Saccharomyces cerevisiae S288C: one gene and its partners. Changing the gene in region 3 together with the main gene of any one other region gives a genetic interaction. Each region holds a gene or a part of one and is shown on either strand. Other genes may lie near its edges. The genes, in order: CDC60, LHP1, LOS1 and RIT1.

Evidence for each region.
Region 1: mutations in LOS1 (region 3) and CDC60 together harm fitness more than expected from each alone (negative genetic interaction), as found in Saccharomyces cerevisiae (3 studies listed by BioGRID).
Region 2: mutations in LOS1 (region 3) and LHP1 together harm fitness more than expected from each alone (negative genetic interaction), as found in Saccharomyces cerevisiae (4 studies listed by BioGRID, with this or other methods).
Region 4: mutations in LOS1 (region 3) and RIT1 together harm fitness more than expected from each alone (negative genetic interaction), as found in Saccharomyces cerevisiae (5 studies listed by BioGRID, with this or other methods).

The regions. Positions count from the first base shown.
Region 1 is NC_001148.4:244,031-251,107, reverse strand, and holds CDC60 (leucine--tRNA ligase CDC60), read right to left. Parts: upstream 4,119-7,077; coding exon 846-4,118; downstream 1-845. Other genes in the region: PET20 (Pet20p), read left to right, coding at 1-201; BEM4 (Bem4p), read left to right, coding at 4,888-6,789.
Region 2 is NC_001136.10:361,905-366,220, reverse strand, and holds LHP1 (tRNA maturation protein LHP1), read right to left. Parts: upstream 2,270-4,316; coding exon 1,442-2,269; downstream 1-1,441. Other genes in the region: KNH1 (Knh1p), read left to right, coding at 347-1,153; 1-acylglycerol-3-phosphate O-acyltransferase SLC1, read left to right, coding at 2,638-3,549; PBP4 (Pbp4p), read left to right, coding at 3,965-4,316.
Region 3 is NC_001143.9:48,361-55,213, reverse strand, and holds LOS1 (Ran GTPase-binding protein LOS1), read right to left. Parts: upstream 5,164-6,853; coding exon 1,861-5,163; downstream 1-1,860. Other genes in the region: EAP1 (Eap1p), read right to left, coding at 1-1,510; ADD66 (Add66p), read left to right, coding at 5,405-6,208; ER membrane complex subunit EMC3, read right to left, coding at 6,259-6,853. UniProt on the Saccharomyces cerevisiae protein: tRNA nucleus export receptor which facilitates tRNA translocation across the nuclear pore complex. Preferentially interacts with tRNAs with mature 5'- and 3'-termini and does not distinguish between intron-containing and spliced tRNAs.
Region 4 is NC_001145.3:834,179-839,260, forward strand, and holds RIT1 (tRNA A64-2'-O-ribosylphosphate transferase), read right to left. Parts: upstream 2,690-5,082; coding exon 1,148-2,689; downstream 1-1,147. Other genes in the region: AEP2 (Aep2p), read right to left, coding at 1-920; ATP-dependent DNA helicase YKU70, read left to right, coding at 4,009-5,082. UniProt on the Saccharomyces cerevisiae protein: tRNA backbone modifying enzyme that mediates initiator/ elongator tRNA discrimination. This enzyme modifies exclusively the initiator tRNA in position 64 using 5'-phosphoribosyl-1'-pyrophosphate as the modification donor.

The DNA of each region.
Region 1 (7,077 bases), on a different chromosome or scaffold from region 3:
AAGCCTTTTCATCCACCTAAGGAAAAATCAATGAACACAAATGAGCTTATTCATGTAAGTGCTAAGAGAAATACATTAGTTGACAATAAAACAAGTGAGACGCTTCAGCGGAAAATGGATGAATTTTCAAAGAGAAGAGGAAAGGGGAGAAAAAAGTCAGTAGTGACGTTGCTCCAAATGAAGAAAAAACTTGAGGGATGATTATTGAAACGTTTCATTCTGATTTCTGTTTTCCTAGCAGGGAGATCTTCTTAGCATCAATGTGCTTTTTGTACGTGGTTACTTGGGTTTTATTTATTTTTAGTTTCTTCCGGTTCTGTTCACTTTATTAGGCCTTTTCATCTTTTAACATCATAGACCTGTTTATTATACATACGCAACGGTTTTTTTCTTACATCCTTAGAGTATATTACATTCATAAACTTTATCATTCATTTAGAACACCTTTTTTACATGTATATTTTTATATATTTATTTATTATTCTTTTACTTATTGACCTGCTCCTCTCATCCATCTATCTAATATAGTTTTCTCACGACTACTTTTCTCTAGACTAGTCAAATAGCCCTCAAACCCAGATATTTGCAGCTAAAATAACACGAATAAGTAAAGAATCAATATACATATCCTCCACAAGAAAATGTGGAAACATTTTACAAGAAAATGAACGAATACAAAACAAAAACAGTTGTGCAATTACAATAATTATACGATATATACGAGGCAAATTATCAATGCGACGTGATTTCTGGTTGCTGTTTATTGATCTTTATAAGTATTTCTATGAGAATTTCTTGTATCTTTTATCGGAAAATCACCATGAGGCATCTTGAAATATTCTCCTTTAAATATTTTGGAAGACAACACCTGGGTTACCTGGAACAGCATTTTCAACAATCTTTGTTACAGGTGGAATTTCAACTTCTTCACCAGTAAAGATATCCTTACCGGTTTTGGCGCCATATGGGAAAGAAATTGCGCTAAATTCAGCAATTTTCAAAGCTTGTGCTGCCTTCTTAACATTCCTTGCAGCAGCCTTGACAGTATCGATTTCGCTGAATTGTAACTCTCTTTCAAACACATCCTCTGGCTTTTCATTAGCTAAACGTTGTTTCAATAGAGAAATGAATGGCATAGCTCTCTTCATTTCTTTAGGCTCAATATGCTCTCTGACCTTTTTGTTATCGTCTAAAGTCTGTTCGCTGAATAGTTTACGGACGATTTCCACGCATTGTGATTGCCATTCTGGAAATGATTCAGAGATCAATAAAGTCAACTTAACAGGTTTGGATGCATCGATTTCAGCAGACTTGCCCTTCTTCTTTTTTAGTGCTTGCCCTTCGCCTTCTCTTATGCTTCTCTGTAGATTTCTCAAGTAATCCAAAGCAGCCAGAACACCCTTATCTACTGGTTTGGATGCACGTGGAAATTTGGCATTTTGTACAGAGGTTTGGTTACCTAGAACTTCACGGTAAATATACTCAGCGAAATGAGGCGCAATTGGAGCCAGCAATAAGGCTTGTGTTTCAATATAACGTGCAATTAAATCTTTATGCATTACACCACTAGCTTCACGATAGTAATCCCTAGCAGCTTGGAAATCAAAAAGACCGTATTTCAAGGCATTCTTATAATTAGTCAATGCATACTGTTCATAAGTCTTTTCAATCAGAGCATTCATTTCGTGTTCAAACGCGATATCAAAGAAATCTGTAATTTCCCCAGTTCTCAAGTTAGATTCCTTGGTAATTTCTTCTGCCCACTCCTTCAAATTGAATAATCTCAGAATAGCAGCATTAGCGTTAGATTCGTCAAAATTTGCATCTTCAACAGTATCTCCCGCATCGGCAAACGCAATACGAGCTGCATCAGCACCGAACTTTTCAACCGTTTGTTCTAAAGTCATAAAATTACCTGTAGATTTCGACATTTTAGAATTGTTTAACATCAAATGACCGTTAGCTCTGATACCTTTAGGCCAGAATTTCTTTGGGAATAATGCAACATGTGTGTAAATGAAGAAAGTTAAATGGTTAGGGATCAAATCCTTCCCGGAAATTGAGACGTCTAATGGGTAGAAATACTCAAATTCCCTTCTCAACTTTTGTAAAGCAGGCAAAGGAATATTGGTGTTCTTGACATCATCCTGATGTTGGAAAATGTAATCGAAAACCTCATCTGTCATTTGATCAGCTGAAATGCCTAATGGTCCAATTTCGTTACCATAATAATCCTTAAATAGTAAGTGAGCAATGGTATAAAATGATTGATAAATAGTAGAGTCTGATAAAGACTCAACTAAGTATTTTTCATCCCAAGGCAATCTGGTACCTAACCCGTATGTACGGCAAACAGCCCAGTTTTTCAACCAATCCAAAACACCTTCAAATGCGTTTTTTACCTCAGGAGCAAATAATTGCATCCCTTCCAAACATTCAATTGCTTGTTTCTTCCAACTTTCTTCACCGTAATCAACGTACCATTGATCTTCCAAAGAAACGATACAGTCATCACCAGAACGTGACATGACCTGAGATTCTGGTTCGTTGTAGACGAAAGCTTCACCGGCGGCAATCATATCAGCCTTAACCTTGTTTTTGGCTTGTTCGACCTTCTCACCTTTATAAGGACCATATATCATGGTACCAGTGTAGTAATCTTCCTTGTAAGCAATTTTCTTGGCTTCTGCTAACAAGTTCTTATCCTTTGGAGATTGAATTTTTTTTTCTTCAACAATAGCCTTTGCAGTTAAATCACCATACTTTTCGGTATGCATAATTGGAACAATTTCATGGTCAATCCATTCAGGTTTAATGCCGTAGTATTCAGGTTTGTGCAACAAGTCCTTGGTGGTAATGTAGTCATCTGGTGAATTAGATGGTACACACGTGACGACACCAGTACCCTTGGTAGCAATGACAGTTTCCATAGGCAATATTCTTAGTTCTGGATATACAGATTGTGGGGCATGAATCTTGGTACCGATAAATGCCTTACCTGGGACAGTAACTATCGGCTTGTAGAAGCCTCTCTTTGGTGTTAGCTTTTGGTAAGACATGTTCTTGAATGCACGTTCAGTAGTGATAAAATAAGAATCACCAGCGTCAAATATACCATACTCAATTGTTGGAGAAACAAAACAACATGTTTGTCCATACATAGTTTCCGGTCTCAACGTGGCAGCGACAAAGTAGAATTTTTTGGATTTGTCAAGATCTGAGCTTGAATCAATGATTTTTGCGGCATCATCGGCGAACTCTAAAGCTTCAATTTTCACACCAATATATTCTTGTGGTGTAACACCTTCACCGGATTGTCTATCGTGATCCATACAAGCTTGACCATCTTTTTCAGAGTAAATAGTATAACGTTCACCGAATTTGATTTTACCAGCAGCCTTTAACTTGTTCATTTGCCATCTAATAAAGGCATCGTAATAAGGATTGGCATCAGTGGTGACAAAAGAACGTCTCCAATCGATACGAGCCCCAAGTGAAGTACAATCACTTTCACACAAAGGTGGGAAATAGGTCAACCAGTACTTGGCGTCGGCGAACTTAATGATTTCTTCTCTAGGGATACCAAGCTGTAACATGATTTCGAATTGGTACTTACCACGGCCCTTCTTGGCTGCGGCTTTAGATTTTTTAGCTTTGAATTTGGTAACATCCTCGTGGTCTTTCTCAGCCGGCGTTTCTTCTTTAATTTCTTCTTCTTCTGCTGGTACATTGTCGAAGTTCTTGCCAAAAAGTTCGGCTTCCCTCTTTAGTTTATCGGCACATGCTAAGATTGGCATACCTGTACAGTGAAAACCCAATGGAAACAAAGCTCTTTTACCGTTCATCCTTTCAAAACCAATAGAAAATTCGACTTTGGAGAGAGTAAAACAATGGCCGGCGTGCATAACACCGTTCATATAAGGATAGGCCATAGACGACATGAATTTAGGATACGTGCGATGTAACTCTTCAGAGTCCATTGTAATGGGCTCATCTTCGATTGATGGCGCATCGATTTCAAATTGGTGCTCTTCAGCCCATATTTTTTGGTACTTCTTTTCGATGGCGATTAACGCATCTCTACGTGCCGTGTTTTCTAAGACCAAACCAGAAGACATTATAGACTGGTTAAAGATATTTTTTTTATATTCTTCACTCTGGAAAAAAATTTCGGTGGCTTTACGTGATTATGATTTATAATAATACAATCATTCAACGTTTGAATAGAATATGCGTTAGGTTTCTTTTCGCTTTTGATTTTTTTTTTTTTTTCATTATTTGCGTGGGTGACTGATTTAGTTTTTCAATGTAAAAGAACCGTTAACGGCCAGACCTCGTATAAAGTGAGGATAACTATAGGCAATAATGGGCGATGTGTATGTAAGCACGAGCACTAGTTCAATACACATCAGAAAGAAACTTCGTCTAATTATTTCTTACCCAAGTAGTCACCCAAAAAGACCTTTTCAAAATATGACCTTGATATTCCTTGTCCGTCAGTTACCAGTTTTACTGTTAGCCGCCGAGGTCCTAAGGGCCTCGTAAGATCGTTCTTGTCTTCCCATGACTAAAGTTCTGCCACTAAGTTTAAGCAAACTCGGCTAAAATATTGAGCCAATATCGTATACTCATTTGTCTGATCTTCAAATAGTGAATCCCTTCCTAAACTTTCTTGTGATAAAGGTACTTAGTCAAAAGTATTTTTCTTTAACCATGTCAAAATAAGATCATATTACCCGCCGGCGGCAAGCCAAGCAACGTAAAATGGCTGAAGACAACGTAAGCAGGTCACTCGCGAACTAAAACTAACCGCGAATAACAAATCACCTCATCTATATTTCAGCCCCAAAAGATTGTGGTTTCAAGTGAAAATAACTGTCCTACTAAATGGATTACGAAGAAATTTTATTTGGTCTGCAACCGATCCTCAATGCGTCTTCAATAAAGGATGTTCCGATGAACGATGTCTACTTAGGAAGCTACCTAGCGGTAATGGACCAATTGGCTGTTTCGTTGAGAGAACCAAGTAATAGAGATATTGTTGGTAAAACTGGGCTGCTACTGAACCTAGTAAGAGTATTAGAACAAGCGCTTGATATCTGCTTTCATGATACGAGCATTTCAATTAATGATAAAATAGCGTTTTATGAGATCAGTTCTGAAGTGATTAGATGTATCGCTAACGCAATAATTGATAATGATGATAATCGGGAAATTCTCTTGGATTCTGGAGGTAAAAAGCTTCTTAATTATTATATAGGCGGGGTTCTTCAGCTGGACGAAATTTCTTCTGACAAGAGTGAGGATAGCTTAGTGGATAAATTACAGATGCGGTCAGTTGTGCTACTAAGGAATTTTTGCATTGGAAATCTCAAGTATACAGAAAATTTGGCTCCCTTCATTAGAGGTCCATTATTTGTTTTGTTGAAAACCACACAATATAGCTATTTGTCATCTCCCGAAAAAGTTGTTTTAGGTTCAGATTTATTGAACGATATTTTAAAAGTCAATTACTCAAATGTTCAAATAAGCGATCTCTTTTTCTTAAGCCAGTACATCAAAAAAATCTCTTCAAATGTGCAAAATAAAGAATTGCAGGCAATGGAAGATGGAGCAGTCGAAGCATATTCAAATACTGAAACTCAGAAGTTCGCTGGCCAAGGAAATCAAGAGTACATCGAAAAAGAGGAAGAAGATGATGAGGAGGACGTTAATTGTGAATTGCTATTAAATCTGTCAACATGTCTTGAAACTATTGTAGCCAAGGATGAAACTATAAACTTTACCAATGAGGAGCAGCTTGTGCTAAGCATGCAAAAAAATTTAATATTGTCCTTAGTTTGCTTAGAATCAAAAACCTTCAATAATAAGCTAATTGTAATGAGAAGACTCATATCGTGCGCAGGCAACATCTCCGCCAACCTAACAAACTCTAACAAACGAGAGCAATCATTATGTATCGAAACTATTAAGAGTTCCGCAAGTAGTTATGCCCTAGCCGCAGCTTTGATGATATTATGTAACTCAGTTGCATCCAAAAGTGACGCTGTCGCGCTACTGAAGCTCATATCTCTTAGTGAATTGATTCAAGTTGGTAGCTTGCTACAAGACCCACTACAATATCAAGGATTCCTAGATTTACTGAGGAAGCTGTTAAATCTGGAAAATACCATGTGGCTAGATATCAAGGACCTCTTCACCCTATTTCAGATTATGAGAAGATGTCACGAGCAAACTAAATATTATAACAACCTGAGATCGTTATTAACAAATTTATTAAACAAAACTTTAACGGTGCTTCCAAGTTCAAAAATACACAATTCAATAAGCAGTGATCCAACAATTATCTCTTTTATAGCAGAGCATGGAACGTTAACGTCCTGTATTGCGATGGATAAGCTGCTTGTGTCCAAGAAAGCCCTTCCTAAAGAAGCTATTACATCCCTATGGGATTCGATCTTCAAATTCCAAAATTTAGGTCAAGCAGAACAACTAAGCATCTCAGATTTATTTCATATCACAAAAACGGTTGGAATTTATTTAAAAGATTCAAGTGTAACAGCTGACGTGAATCCGATTGAAAATATACTATTCAAGGATTACATTCAAAAGTTAACCCTGATATTAGAGACCATACTTTCATTTAAAGAAAATAAAGATAAGGGTAGCGAGAGTTGTTTCAACAATGGGAAATTTATAGCGGGCATAATACTAAACATTGTGAAAAATACGAAATGCTTAACGCCAGAGGAACAAAATTTAGAAGCGCTTGCAAAATCGTTCTTTTAGACACGTAATCGCCTTACCTACGAGGGGAGAAAACGTTCCCTCTGCATGTATATATATATATATATATATAAATATTAAATCTTGAATATTGTTGGATTAAGCATGTGCTTGACAAATGGTGTATGGGTTTGTAGACGATGAGAGTGGAAGGGAGATTAAAAGTTTATTGCAGATGCGAACATCTGCACAAAAGTACTTGAATGTACTAAGCAGAAAAAGTTCTAATACATATTAGCAGGAGGCCCAACAGTCACACAAGTTCAGCAGAACTGCCAATTAATCGAAAAG
Region 2 (4,316 bases), on a different chromosome or scaffold from region 3:
AACCTTCGAAGCAGCACTTCTTTTTTTCACATGAGAATGTAGTCCATTGCGTAAATCCAGTCTTTGCGGCTTTCCCTTCTTCCTCATCATATTGTTGACCAACTCCAACAGAAAAGCACATTTCCTCTTCACCAATTTTCTTCTTTCTTTTTTGAAAGTACGAACATGTAAGGGACATTGGACATTATGTGCTCGTTCATGTATAATATTACATGAGGTAGTTAGTTACGTAAATTTATAAAAACGTATCGATGAAAGTTGCACAGAAGTAAAAAGTAAAGTATACAAGTATTACGTCGACTTCTTAGGTAGGTAACAATAATAAAAAATCAATTACGTAAAACGTATGCTGATAGTATTATTCTTAACATTATTTTGTTCGGTAGTGTTCCGAACAGCTTATTGTGATGTGGCCATTGTGGCTCCAGAACCCAACTCAGTTTATGATTTATCTGGTACAAGTCAGGCTGTTGTCAAAGTAAAGTGGATGCATACAGATAACACACCACAGGAAAAGGATTTTGTCAGATACACGTTTACTCTGTGTTCGGGTACCAATGCCATGATAGAAGCAATGGCTACTCTTCAAACACTCAGTGCGAGTGATCTGACAGACAACGAGTTCAATGCGATAATAGAAAACACCGTTGGGACGGACGGTGTTTACTTCATACAAGTCTTTGCGCAAACAGCTATCGGTTACACCATTCATTACACTAACAGATTTAAACTAAAAGGGATGATTGGTACAAAAGCCGCTAATCCGAGTATGATAACCATTGCACCAGAGGCACAAACAAGAATTACCACAGGAGATGTGGGTGCCACGATTGATTCTAAGAGTTTCACCGTTCCCTACAACTTACAAACAGGTGTTGTGAAATATGCTCCCATGCAACTCCAACCGGCTACTAAGGTAACAGCAAAGACATGGAAAAGGAAGTACGCGACCAGTGAGGTAACGTATTACTACACTTTAAGAAACTCCGTTGATCAACATACTACCGTAACACCAGGGTGGTCATACATAATTACAGCTGATAGTAACTATGCTACGCCGGCCCCTATGCCGGCTGATAATGGCGGTTGGTATAATCCACGCAAGAGACTCTCTCTGACTGCAAGAAAAGTTAATGCTTTGAGGCACAGATAATGAAATAATACAAAAAAAAAATTTATGAAAATGGACAAATCGATTTATTATATTCGTTAACATTTTTTCTGCTTAATTATTGTTATTCTATTTTTTTTTTTTTTTAAATGGATGAGCTGTATTCCATTTTAACCAGTAACGGTAATTTTTAATACTAATAAAAAAAGGAGACAAATAATATAGTATTAGTTGTAATTCATATTGTGTTTCTGTTTAGTACATATGTTAGTACATATATTCTTAATATGCTATGATAATGAGATACGAGAACCAGAAGAAACACAAGAATCACTCCTTGTGCTCCTCATCGTCATCGGCAATGGCAGAAGAGTCCTCTTTTGACTCTTCCTTGCCGTTTTTCTTCTTATTTTTGGGGAATTTAGGCAAGTTTTTCTTCTTATGGCCGTTAAAGGATCTTGATCTACCGCTGAAGTTTTTGGACTTCGAGGCCTCTCTCTGTAAATCAAACTGTTTTTTCGTCAAAACACTCAGTTTCTTACCTTCATATGACAAAATTTCGTTGGACTCATCGTCATTGGAATACGATTTCAAAAAAGCTTCACATTCTGGAATTGTCTTAAATTCCACCAAGACCGTACCATTAAATTTCTTGTTTCTGTGATCTCTTCTCAAACGCACTTGGTTGATTTCACCTAATTTTTTGAAAAAGGCTTCCAAGTTCTCCTGCAATTCAGGAATTTGGGAAGCTTCAACGTCCTCATGTGGGAAATTCATTACAGCCAAAGTCCGTTGGTTTTGCTCAATTCTGGCATTTCTGGCAGCAGTTAGGTCCAAAGGAACACGTCTCTTGACGTTCTCTCCATCAGCAGATACTTCCAAAATTTCAGAACTACGTAGTGCTTCGATAACCTTATCCACTGGTCTATATTTCTTCATACGGTTGAATGTGGCGATGGTGCTGATGGGGACCCATCCATCGTTTTTTTCCGCTGTTGTGCGCAAGAACCTGTCATATGGAAAGTTGAATTCAGAAAAGTAGAATTCCACTTGCTTTAAACATCTGTCCAAGACTTCTGGAGTAAATTCAATCACAGCAAATGAATTACGTCTTGATTGTGGTTTCTCTTGCTCCTCTTGTTGTGGTTTTTCAGACATTACTTCTTTGCAGATGCTACTTTAGTTCCAGTAGAACCAAATAGAACCCATTTTTTGGAAAAAGAAAAAAATACATCATAGCGATGAGATGCGACTCTGTGCTTTTGATTTGGTTGTAATTCAAAAATCTTGAGATATTGCGATGAGGTTGGGCTGAACACATTACACTAAGACGAAGACGAAAATTTTTTCACGGTCACGAGATGGATCTCGTGAATGATGATATCAATTATGCTTCCTTTGTTTTGTTGAGAATATGGTATGGTGTTCAAAATACTTATATTAGGAAGGGTTTAAGGTGAAGGGGGAATTCTTCAATAGAGAAGTTTAGTGGTTTCCCTCCGTCAGTGAATTCGAGCAAAAAAATAATGAGTGTGATAGGTAGGTTCTTGTATTACTTGAGGTCCGTGTTGGTCGTACTGGCGCTTGCAGGCTGTGGCTTTTACGGTGTAATCGCCTCTATCCTTTGCACGTTAATCGGTAAGCAACATTTGGCTCAGTGGATTACTGCGCGTTGTTTTTACCATGTCATGAAATTGATGCTTGGCCTTGACGTCAAGGTCGTTGGCGAGGAGAATTTGGCCAAGAAGCCATATATTATGATTGCCAATCACCAATCCACCTTGGATATCTTCATGTTAGGTAGGATTTTCCCCCCTGGTTGCACAGTTACTGCCAAGAAGTCTTTGAAATACGTCCCCTTTCTGGGTTGGTTCATGGCTTTGAGTGGTACATATTTCTTAGACAGATCTAAAAGGCAAGAAGCCATTGACACCTTGAATAAAGGTTTAGAAAATGTTAAGAAAAACAAGCGTGCTCTATGGGTTTTTCCTGAGGGTACCAGGTCTTACACGAGTGAGCTGACAATGTTGCCTTTCAAGAAGGGTGCTTTCCATTTGGCACAACAGGGTAAGATCCCCATTGTTCCAGTGGTTGTTTCCAATACCAGTACTTTAGTAAGTCCTAAATATGGGGTCTTCAACAGAGGCTGTATGATTGTTAGAATTTTAAAACCTATTTCAACCGAGAACTTAACAAAGGACAAAATTGGTGAATTTGCTGAAAAAGTTAGAGATCAAATGGTTGACACTTTGAAGGAGATTGGCTACTCTCCCGCCATCAACGATACAACCCTCCCACCACAAGCTATTGAGTATGCCGCTCTTCAACATGACAAGAAAGTGAACAAGAAAATCAAGAATGAGCCTGTGCCTTCTGTCAGCATTAGCAACGATGTCAATACCCATAACGAAGGTTCATCTGTAAAAAAGATGCATTAAGCCACCACCACATTTTTAGAGTAGTATATAGACCCAAAAACTGTAATTATCTTTTTAAAAAAGTAAAATGACTTACGAATGATTCTGATGATTTTATTTATTACGACTCATATACCCAGCGTAAGAAGTGATCAATAGACCGCTACTTTATTCGGAGAAAGAGAAAAGAACTTTCCATTGTAATGTATATATAACACCAGGCATGTGTCAAAAATGTGAGACTAAATAGAAAGAAAAATACGAGGAACAACAAATAATACGATCTTGTGCATATTTTTTCCCTTTTTTTTTTTAATTCTTTTTTTCTGAAATTTTTCATTTGTTCACTGTTTAATATCTATCCATTTTTGTTTCCGAATTTTCATTAACTTTATTACTTATTTACGATACAATTTTCCCTTTAATCTAGTACGAAATGACAACAACCTCAACAACCAGTGTAGATGGCAGAACCTCCTCGACTTTGAAGGCTACTTTATCTGCTTCAGGTCCAAATTCAAATGGTCCAACGCCCGCTGTGCTTCCTCAGAAGCCAAAATTAACAGGTTGGGCGCAGGCAGCTGCCAAAGCCCTTCCAAGGCAACAGCAACAGCAACAGCAGGCACGAAAAGATGATTCCGTGGCTGTACAACCTGCTAATACGAAGACTAAAACCATCGCATCTACCGCGCCGCCTGCTAATATAAAGGGTAGTTCCACCGCCAATGGATCATCCACAAATAAGAAATTTAAAAGAGCGAATAAACAACCTTACAATAGAGAAGAAG
Region 3 (6,853 bases):
GCCTGTCTTCCTTCTTATTTACATCTTTAGAATCTTTCTGGAATTGAACGAGACCTGGTGGCGGTGGCATCATGCGTTGTGGAAAATTTGGTGGTACACCCATCACAGGAAATTGTGGACCCTGATGAGCAATTAGTCCTGGGGGTGGAGGAGGAGGAGTACTAGTTTCACTTTTACCTTTATTCAATAGCCCATTGAAAAATGCGTTGTTATTAGGAGGATGCTGGGTAAATGCCATTGGTTGCATTTGTTGCGGTTGCTGCTGGAATTGCGGAAGAGTCTGCATCTTTCCATTATCTTTGTCTGAGGCTGATAACAACTGCGATTCTGCATTTGGAGTGCTCGATCTAGATTCTTTGAAAAACGACATCAGTCTTGAACCACTTTGATGAGGTGTACTGTTGCCATCGTTGTTTACTACAGACACGTTTGACGATGGCACTTGATTATTATTATCTAATGAAGGCAACGAAGTGGCAGATTTATTGAAAAATGATGAAAACCGAGATGATGAACTTTTACCCAAATCTGAATTAGTTTCTAATTCGTTAACTTGTTCTATACTGGTTTTGGATAGGCTTGGCTGTCCAACAGGAATACCAGGTGTTTGTTGTGAAGATTCTTCCTTCTTATCTTGCCTCTTTAAATTCAAAAAATCTGTTATTGAACTAGGGCCCCTTGGAATGACCGGTCTTAAATCGGTGGGTGTTTCATGAGAGGCGCTTTCCCTGGGAGCAATTGCGGTAGAGTTACTGATTCCTTTAGATTTTGAAAGTTTTTTCAATTCTAATTCTTTCATCTTTGCCTTCCAATCTTCAAAATCTGCAATTGAATGGCCGACGTCACCTCCTAATTGAAGATTCTTGTCCATCTCCAGCATTTCTTGGTCAATCTTTTTTTCTTCATCATCTTGTTGAGATCTTCGTTTGCCTCCCTGCATGTTTTTGGTTCTACTCATTCTTCTCTCATCGTTTTTCCCATTCTTGTAACCAGCCTTCCAACTGCCTCCACCATTGTTCCCATTAAAATGATGGTTATTAGCATGCTTTTGATCTGGAGGTCCCATGCGCAATCGCCAAAACTTTCTTTTGGGTAAACTCCTCACAAGTTCCGAAATAAGTGGGTCTTCTTCGTACGAAGCACTTGCCAAAGATGGTTTCAAATGATAAAGTTCATTCATGGAGTATGCATATGTCTTGTATTGCAGATCCATTGGTTTGTAGTTCGTTATAGGGTCCGTCAAACTGCTGAAATTTAGCATGGCCGTTTTCTTATTTTTTTTTTTATTGCTTTCTTTATTGTTACCGCTCGTAGCAACAGAAATGTTAGAGCTATCAGTTGAAGATTCTACGCTACCGATTGGCTTCTCTTCTCTGCCCTTTTTGGCTAATTTTTGGAATAAATTTGAGATGGCTTGTTGCGATTTGTGAGTAGCGGCTGCAGTATCGCTGTCAGACAATTCACCTGAAAACTGGCTGCTTGATATAATTGAAGGGTCGTTGAGTTCCATTGTATGGGTTAAAGTCCTACTATGCTAGTTCTTTGTGTAGCTTAGAGACTGAAACATTCATATACTCTAATATCTCACCTGATCCTTTTTGAACCTTCCAACGATTTCTTTGAAATTAAAAAAACTAAACGTTTGTCATTCTTTACGTAATACATAGAAGTAATGGTATGTCACGTATAAATAATAGATAAAGAAGCACTTTTAGTGCCATTACATGACTAGCTGCTAAACCAAAGTGAATGATAAGTCTAATTACATATTACCAATTTAAATATTAGTATAAATATAATTACAACTTTTACTCTCGTTTTGCATTTTTTTTTTATTTTCAGGTTTTCTGCGCCTGAAAGCTATTGACCTTGCTTTAAAACAGAAATGAAATTATCTACAAACCATTTTTCGAATTGCTTTTGACCCATTGTGGTTAACATATTAACCAACTGAATCGTCAATTCCTGTGGTAATTGGATTTGTGGAAGGTAGATCTGAGTTAAATATTTTACACATTCATTCTCATTTGTGGTGGGGTTGCTGCTGACGATAAATAGCTCCCTCAGTAATCTTGCCAAATCATATGCCATTGTTTTGAAATTCCCTTCTTTGATATTGAACTTGTATATTGGATTGAACGGAATTTCAAAGATTATTGGGACACATTTCATGATGAAGTATTCGTTGAGACCATCTATTTTAAGGTTGGGATCTTTATTGATGTCGTCATTATCCAAGCAGGTCCCATTCCCAAAACATTTGATAAAATTGCACAATACATTGAGTGACACTTTCATCATTGATGTTTCCTGGATCTCTTGCGGCGTATAGGTGACCAAATCGTTTAATATGACCGGCAGGATTGCTCTGTTTATATCTGACAATAGTATCGAAGTGACGGAATTATTAGTAAATGACTGTAAAAATGTGCAGTAAGCCTTTTTCAATAGTATTTTATCTCTATACGAATCGGTGACCACGATATTCTTATTTACGGAGGTGGCTGTGACTGCAGTGTCTATAGGTTTGTTACTGCTTGATTGTTGGTCGTGTTGTTCATCAATCTCTTCGATAATAGAATGGACTTTGTTGATAAGCGGAGTAAGTAACTGGTTAAACAGCTGATAACAGTCTGTGTCCGTGTGAAACATATGAATCAGTTGAGATAAGAACCCAAGAAAATCAATCATCTCCCATGATTTTAAATCTGTGGACGATAAGATCAATTCAATCAATTTATTGATAAATGGTAAAATTTTATTACTTAAAATTGGAATTAACCTGGCAAAGGTAAACCTAGATGCATCGCGGATATTTTCGAACTTATTGAAAAAAGAGAATGTTACTAATATAACCTCAGCTATATTAGAGAATTTATGGATTAAAGAGTCATTGATTAATTTTTTGTTGACAACCATATTGTTGACCTGATTCTCAGGGACGAGACCAATGTGCAAACCTCTCGCTAAAGTACCAATAGCCATAAGAATGTGATGACATTCCAGAATCACAACTGGCGAAGCTCCTTGGGTAATACAACCCTCTAATTGTGTAAATAGCGGAGTTAATATCTGGTCCAATATATCGTAATCGATGGGGGTGTTGGCAGTGGCAGCAGTGAGCTCCTGACTGCTATTATTCAATGTGATTATAAACCCAATACCCTCAAATATGTACAACTGATTATCAAAAATTGTATCATTGTCATCCGTCCCTTGGGCGTTGATAGATGTTACTTTTATGTGAAGTAGAGGACTTATCTTATTAGTTATTTCATTAACCAAATTTTTGTTGGCAAAGAGGATTTTTTTCAAATTGATTCTTGTCAACTTCAAGAATCTTGTAAATAAATACCATGACCTTAGTCTGACGTTTTCTCTTTTATTGAACATAGCAAATGAGCTCATGAAAATATTCAATATTAATAGATACTTTTCATCATCATCAGTAGCATTTGCTGTGTTAGCACTAGTTGAAAATATGAAATTGTAGTTTTTCACAATTAATTCCATGAATAGTATTTGGATTTGTTCGTTATCAATGGCTAATAAGAAATCCTTCATCATTAACAATTCATTTAAAAATCGTACTAAAGTTAGCGAAGGTTGTGAGGTCATAATTTCATTCTTGTTCAAACCGAAATAGTTGTTCTTGGTACATTCACTTAAATTGAAGATTTGATAAATAGTTAGCTCGAAAATTTGCCAGCTTTCGTTTTTACAATTCATTAGGTTTGCTGAAATTTCTTGAGAAATGTTATTTAAAAACAGACTTGGGTCAATTACCACGATGATCTCCTGGAAATTTTTTAATTTAAATCTTACGGTTTCGTTGAATTCCTCAAAATCATCCTGTGTGACCTCGTCGTCTGAAAACTTCATTCTTTTAAAGCAAATTTGTTGGAAATTATCTAGAAAATCCTTATGCAATGGTACAAAATTTGGTGAAGATGCTTTATATTTTTTCAAGAAAGCCAGATAATTTGACCAGAATGGGAAGGTTTTTGCTGTTATTGAATCAAACTCATTATTCATAAATTCCAAAAGTATTGGTATTATTTTCTCCAATAATATGGAATCAACATTTGAAATGACCGATTGTTTGTATAATGTATCCAATTTTTGATCATCGTTGACTTGTTCAATAATGATAGTAAATTCTATGCCAAAGGAAGTAATCAACTTGGTCAAACTTTCCCAGACTTCTAAATTATCAAATGTAATAATTTGGGGATTCATTGATATGGCTTGATGATAGTAAGTCAATTCGTTGGTCAAATTGATCATATTCAGAAAAGCCAGTTTGTCCATTGGTTTCATTTTTTTAGAGATGATGGCCAGTATGCAATTATAACATGAAATTTTGGTTTCTTTAAGATTTAAAAATTTATAGATTAATTGCAGATAATAATTATTTGCATCAATAATTAAATTAATATCGATCCATGAGATAAAACTCCCAATACAATCCAAGGTAGAATTGATCAATCCGGGACATTGTGACACAATTTGTTCGTCCAGTTTTAAACACTGAAACCACACATTACTCAATTTCATGATATCGTTATCACGCATCCAATCTTTTATATTGTTATTTTTTAACTGAGATTCCTTAGACCTAATAAAGCTTTGGTCAGCAATCTCCGAATTAATCATCAAACAGAGCTTGTTAAAAAATTCAAGACCTAGAAGAATGTTACCATCGGTAGACGGGCTCGTATTGGAAATAGCCGAATCCACTTGGAATAGACTCATCAGATCGTCAAAAAAACTGTTCCACTGGTTTCCATTACAATCACTGTACATTAACATAAACAAAGTAGTCAGCACTTCAGAAATCTTATTCATTAAAAAGTCAGGCAGCTTAGTTTGCTTATTGCCCAAAACTTGAAATTTGAGCCATTTGGTTATTTCAAACTTTACCAGATTCAAACCATTTGGATTAGCGTTCACGCCCTCCGTCATCAATTCTATCAATGTGGACAGTCCGTAAAACTTCAACAAATCATTTGAATTCTCGTTGATGACCAATGATATAAAGATTTCCAATGCATTCTCTGATGATTTAATCCCATTTAGCAGCTCGATGGCTTGTCTCTTAGTGGCCACATCTGAGCGTGGATCGTTCACTGCATTTACCAGCTGCTGAATCCGTTCTAGCATTCCTCGATTTGACTGGAAACACTTGTTCTATAGGTTGCTTACCGACAACTTCTCAAACTAACTGATGGAATTTGAAAAAATTTTAGTTTTTTTTTGTTAGCTAATTTTTCAATTTTTCGCTTTGAGCCTGAAAATGATCCCACAATGAGTAACCTGCTAAAAAAAAAGCCACCTACACTAAAATAAGGAAATTAAATTAAAACTTCAGGAAAGAATAGCACAAAACCCAAAGGAACATACGATGAGCTGCCTGGTGTTGCCATTAGTAAGCGTAGGGAATATACCACAATTGAGTATTGACTGGCTGCTGAATTCACAAGCAAATGAATGGGAATATTTGGAGGCGTTAGATTCGAAATACCTAGTGGAATTTGTGGGACCATTAGACAGACCAGAGGATGGTAGCGACTCGCTATATAAAGACGCTGATATGAAGTATAGCAGCGCTTTGGAAGTTTTCTACAATAAGAAGCGAGGACTTTTTGCCATACAGCAACGAACACCACTCGTGTCCGTTAACTATCTGAATAATTTCATCGTAGAGATCATCTTGCCGTTCTTGAGCAAGTATAATATATCGGAAATATGCATTTGGGACTCTCTATATGCAATGGAGGATGAAAATGGTGTGATTGTACGTCCACAGGAGGTATATTCGCTCGGAGAGTTTTATTTCGACGATGAAGCTGAGCTTTTATCGAACCTCCATCTAAACGATCAAGAGTCGATGGTCAATAACTGGTTACATTTTACTCCTACCAGTTTCCAAGACAAGATATCCGTTGATCAGCCGATCTTCAAAATACTTTTCCAAATACTGAATGCGTCGCAGAGGCCTAAAGCCCTCCGCAGCATTAAGTACTGTAGTTGTTTGGCCAATGAGGGGGACAACTCATTAGATTCTCAACAGTTCTTACAATGGATAATCTCTCAAAAAGTTATCAAAAACGCGCCACCAATTGTAAAGTTTGTCAGGCCTATATCATGGCAAGGTGCATACGGAATGGCGGATGCAAGAGATAAATTTGTAGATTTATACAATTGAAACCGAGAAGTATATCTGTTTTCTATACAAGTGCATATATAGCCACGAACTTACATATACTGTTTCAAAACCCTTTGCTCAACGTTATCAAGACAAGTCTCATGCTGAATGATAGTCAAATCGTTAGCCATCGCATGCATTGCTTTGTCAACCTGTGATTGTGGAGGGCCTTGGGGGCCCTGAGGGCCACCTATCCCGGCCTGAATACCCATGTCCTGATCGTTTAACCCAATCAGGTTGTAGACTGGATTTAGCCCGAGCACAGAAATAAAATACCATGAAATGGAGCTAACCCATCTCACATCCAGGTCCTGACAGATAATACCGGTCTGTAACATCTCTTTGAATTTGGCAGTCAAAGGGAAAGGTAGTTGCATAAGAATAAATCCAGCAAAAAAATGGTTCACCCACCACATAATAATAGTTTGAGGGATGAAACTGGCCATATTACCCTTAGCCATGTTCATCATAGCATTAGACATACTTGGATCGTTGAAGGGATTAGGAACCTCTCCAGCTTGCGAACCATCCTGCTGCTTGGCCTTGGCTAGGTGCCTTTCCTCAGTGAGATCCTTAACTAGAAATTCCTTCTTCGCAGCAAATGCATCGGAAGACAGGTTCCCACCGTTTCCAATCAATAATTGT
Region 4 (5,082 bases), on a different chromosome or scaffold from region 3:
GCAAGATCAGCAATCTTTAATAATGTTTGGTGATCCATGGCTTTGTAAGTAGAAGAAAGACGAATTGACGTATTTTTCGCACCTAGTCGAACCATTTTTCTTAAAAAACCTTGTTTTTGCTCACTATTATCTGGTATTTTCCAATAAGGCGCCAAAGCGCCACAACGCAGTTGTAAAAAGTGAACTATTGTGCTAATATCTGCATTTTTCGGAGACAGTAATATATCAGGATTTCTATCAAGAATAAAGCTTAAAATTTTTTGAGCCTTACCTAATTGACCGAGCTCTATAAAGTTCTTGATCATAAGATTTGCATCAAATATTTCACATGCATCTAGTTTCGTATTCCGTAAGTTAACTTGGTTTCTCTTGGCATCAACTTTTTCTGCATATAAGGAAAAAAGTTTGAACCAAAATTCTGAATATTTAGCGTTTATGTCTCTACAGATTCTCCTAATTTGAAACCGTTGTGTGTATAGTTTGCTCAAAAGAAAAGACAGGTCCTCTAAAGACAGAACATCCTTCGGTTCAGGGTCCACGGTTTTCGCGAATAAGTAACTTATACTCTTGGAAAATTCGGATTCATCCATTCCACTCGAGCTGATAATTCGTTTTAATGTGTGAACATCTATAGGTATACCTTTTGCCTCGAATTTGTCATAAGCGCTCCCATTATTTTCATCTTTTGATCGATCAATTGCACATACCGTGTGAGTTGAATAGGATTTTTTGATTAAAATATCATTTATGACAGCCCTACCCATTACATACGTTCTTCGGGGATAGACAGAATGACATATTGTGCTATTCGGCAGTACACCAAATTCACGCAGCGATTTCACTGATACAGTGCAGAGCCTCTTCGTGTAAAACCTCAGAACACTGTAGGATGGATGTTTAACCAGTCTATTTATCCACATTAATCATAAATTTAGGTAGTGGACTGTTAACGAAGGAGAGCTTCGTTAATTTGTTCTTGATTTTACATATTCTTTTCATTAGCCAATGTCTGAAGGGCTCTTTTTCAATGAACCTTTTCTGTTCAGGATAAACGGTAACCCGCTCTTTTTCTAATAAAAACTGACGTTATTTGATATTAAAATATACAGTGACATTGCGAGTAAACATCTCAGTATTGCCTAACTCACTACATTAAAAAGCTATTGACGCTGTTCAGTGTTGCTCTTGAAGGGTTAACGTTGCGTCCTTTCAAGTGGGAAATCAATTTTGTCAAGTGTTTTCTTACAATAAGCTTACTGATGTCCGGTAACTCCGACGTAAGCATCCATTCTTCAGTATATTTGGTACAAAGGATACTTAAGATGACACCGATTGACATATCAGTACCTGTATTGCAGCATATTAGCATTGGCTTTATTTTTTCATCTCGATTTGTAAACAACGATTGAATTTCTCCATGGATTCTAGGGAATGTGGATCGTAAAGCTTTTGAACTTTTCTTGTCTCCGCTTTGCAACTTGTATATTGAAATAAACGGATCTGTCCCACTTTCTTCTTCATCGTCTGTATCTTCAGCAACAGTCACCGAATTACTGAAAATTATAACTTTACCATATTCTGACTTCAATTTCTGTTTCAAATTCTTATTGATGGTTAAGCCTGAACTCACTTTTCCTAGAGATATCTCATTCGTAATTTTATCAATGTTTCCAAAGACTTCATCCAAGCTTCCTTTATCTTGTATATAACACTGATTTCTCAGCTTTGCAGCAGCCAAATCCATGATGTAATCATGTAACTGGTCGTCTGAATAACTTGCGTCGCCTAGGTATTCTATATGGGCCCAAAACATATTTGAATCCAAACCAAAAGACCAGAGCTCGTGATCGTCGGCTGCACCCTGCACATAAGTGAAGCCGTATCTTTTATCCATACCATCTTGTGCTTGATAGCTTACCGTGCACAAAATAATGGGTATTATGTTTTGGTCTTCAGGTGTTTCCCAGGCTTCATACTCCTGTACTTCACCCGTGAAGTAATCAACAGAATGGTCTAGAAGTGAAGAACCAGGGTGAACCCATATGGGCCGCAATAACTTACCCATAAACAGTTCGTTCAATTTCTTAGAATCTATAATATTCAATTTTTGTAGTTTAGCAACTAGTTCGGGTATTTTTCGCTTAATCATGTCATATTCTGATTTGGGAACTGTCTCAGGTGGAAGATACAGTACCTTATCGATGGCAACATTTTTTTCTGTTTCCTGAAGCATTAACGTATTTAATACAGCACACCATATGGGGACAGTCTTACTCAAAGCATCTGGGATTTTTTTACCTCTTCTAGTACTATCGACAATTATAATACCTTTATTATCTCGAATGGTCTCTAACAAATGAAAGTTCAATCTTCGGGTGCTAAAGTCCCATTGGTTGACATGCCCGTCTGTGCTCTTAAAGTAACTGGTCTGTTTGAAACTTGATGGATTACAGTACCATAGCCCACATCTTTCATTGGGTATCAGTGGATAATGGGGAAATATAGGGATAACTCGATCTTGCAAAAATTTATTGTCTAAAAGAATACTCTGAAGTCGATTCCTTACGGACTTGTTTTCCTTTCTGATGTCTTTATTTATCTGAGATAGCGAAAGATAAATATTTTCATCCATCACGGATATACTAAACTGTACTCTGGATCTATATCTCTTTGATAGCCTCGATACCATCCATCAAGAGATCAAAATTTTCAAGCATGCTTTTTTTTTCCTGCATATGAACAATGAATAATGGGCCCAGTCACAGTTAAGCAGTAATAAGAACAAAGCACATAAACATACAACGCATATATGAAGAGCAATAGAGTGGTGGGATGATTTTAGAAGTTCATTTTTGATGAAGATGATAAGATTATGTAATAGCGGCTATGCTAAGCTCCCTTCGGGCATGGAAATCAACAAAAAAGTTGTAACCGTACATAATATGACGGGAAATGCAACAAGCTTTCCAAGAAGTAATGGAAGGCATAGCTAAAGGACTATCTGGCTCGGCCATAAGTTTGAAATTTGTGTATACAGGTATAGGAAACCCTTATACCTACCTAAATCGTCGAAGCTACTGATATATTGCGTATAGTCGATATGCCCAATGTAATTCATATTTCATACTCTTCTCTTGTACAGATTAAGGGCACCTGTTTTATTCTTAGAATATACTACAACCTGCCTACTAATTAACAATGATACTATTAACGGTGCAAAACCGGATGCTCAAATTTAAAGTGATTACTCAGTTATAAACACGCCTGGTGTGAAATTAACGACCATTAATAAGAATAAATATTACTGGCATATTATAATATGCGGTGGAAAAACATAAAATAAGGATTGAGAAATAGTTATCAAGTATAATGGAAGCTGAAGTGCAAGGATTGATAATGTAATAGGATAATGAAACATATAAACGGAATGAGGAATAATCGTAATTTTATTATGTAGAAATATAGATTCCATTTTGAGATTTCTATCCTCGAGGAGAACTTCTAATATATTCTGTGTACATAATATTATATAGCCTTGATCAACAATGCAATCCCAACAATTATCAAATTATTCACCCAATATTCAGTATAATCCATATTTATAGAATATATAGGATAATTATCATCCCCTCAATCAAGTTGATATTCCGTTTTGACAACAGGTCACTTCTGCAAGGTTGCTTATATTAAAATTGTGAATAAGCATGATATTAGACGGACTCATAATTGAATGGTTATCAGTTAATTGACTCTCGGTAGCCAAGTTGGTTTAAGGCGCAAGACTGTAATTTACCACTACGAAATCTTGAGATCGGGCGTTCGACTCGCCCCCGGGAGATATTTTTTTACTTTTGATTACCTTAATTTTTGAAGATTCTCAATTTCATGTATTAGGGATTGCTTTAAGGTAGCTACCAAATGACATTCTCTGTATTACTGTTCTAGTTTTCAACAGTAAAGCTATGATTTGTTAAGTGACTCTAAGCCTGATTTTAAAACGGGAATATTATGCGCTCAGTCACTAATGCATTTGGCAATAGTGGAGAACTTAACGATCAAGTGGATGAAACAGGTTATAGGAAGTTTGATATCCATGAAGGAATTTTGTTTTGCATTGAACTATCAGAGACAATGTTTAAAGAGTCCTCTGATCTAGAGTATAAATCACCATTGTTGGAAATTCTGGAATCACTAGATGAGCTAATGTCACAATTGGTCATAACAAGACCTGGGACAGCTATTGGTTGCTATTTTTATTACTGTAACAGAGAGGATGCCAAGGAAGGTATCTATGAACTTTTTCCATTAAGGGATATAAATGCTACATTTATGAAGAAATTGAACGATCTTTTAGAAGATTTATCATCGGGGAGAATAAGCCTATACGACTATTTTATGTTTCAACAAACTGGGAGTGAAAAGCAAGTGCGCTTATCTGTATTATTCACATTCATGCTTGACACTTTTTTGGAAGAGATTCCGGGTCAAAAGCAATTAAGCAACAAGAGAGTGTTCTTATTCACTGACATTGATAAACCACAAGAGGCGCAAGATATCGATGAACGGGCAAGATTGAGAAGGCTTACAATTGATTTATTTGATAACAAAGTGAATTTTGCAACTTTTTTTATTGGCTATGCCGATAAACCATTTGACAACGAGTTTTATTCGGACATACTGCAGTTGGGTTCACATACAAATGAGAATACTGGTTTGGATTCTGAATTTGATGGTCCAAGTACAAAGCCTATAGATGCTAAATACATCAAGTCCAGAATCCTAAGGAAAAAGGAGGTAAAGAGGATAATGTTTCAATGTCCATTAATCTTGGATGAGAAAACAAATTTTATAGTCGGAGTCAAGGGTTACACTATGTATACCCATGAAAAAGCTGGAGTCAGGTATAAACTTGTTTATGAGCATGAAGATATCAGACAAGAAGCATATTCAAAAAGAAAATTTTTAAATCCTATAACAGGAGAAGACGTTACTGGTAAAACTGTCAAGGTTTATCCTTATGGTGACCTCGATATCAATCTATCAGATAGTCAAGATCAGATAGTAATGGAGGCTTATACTCAA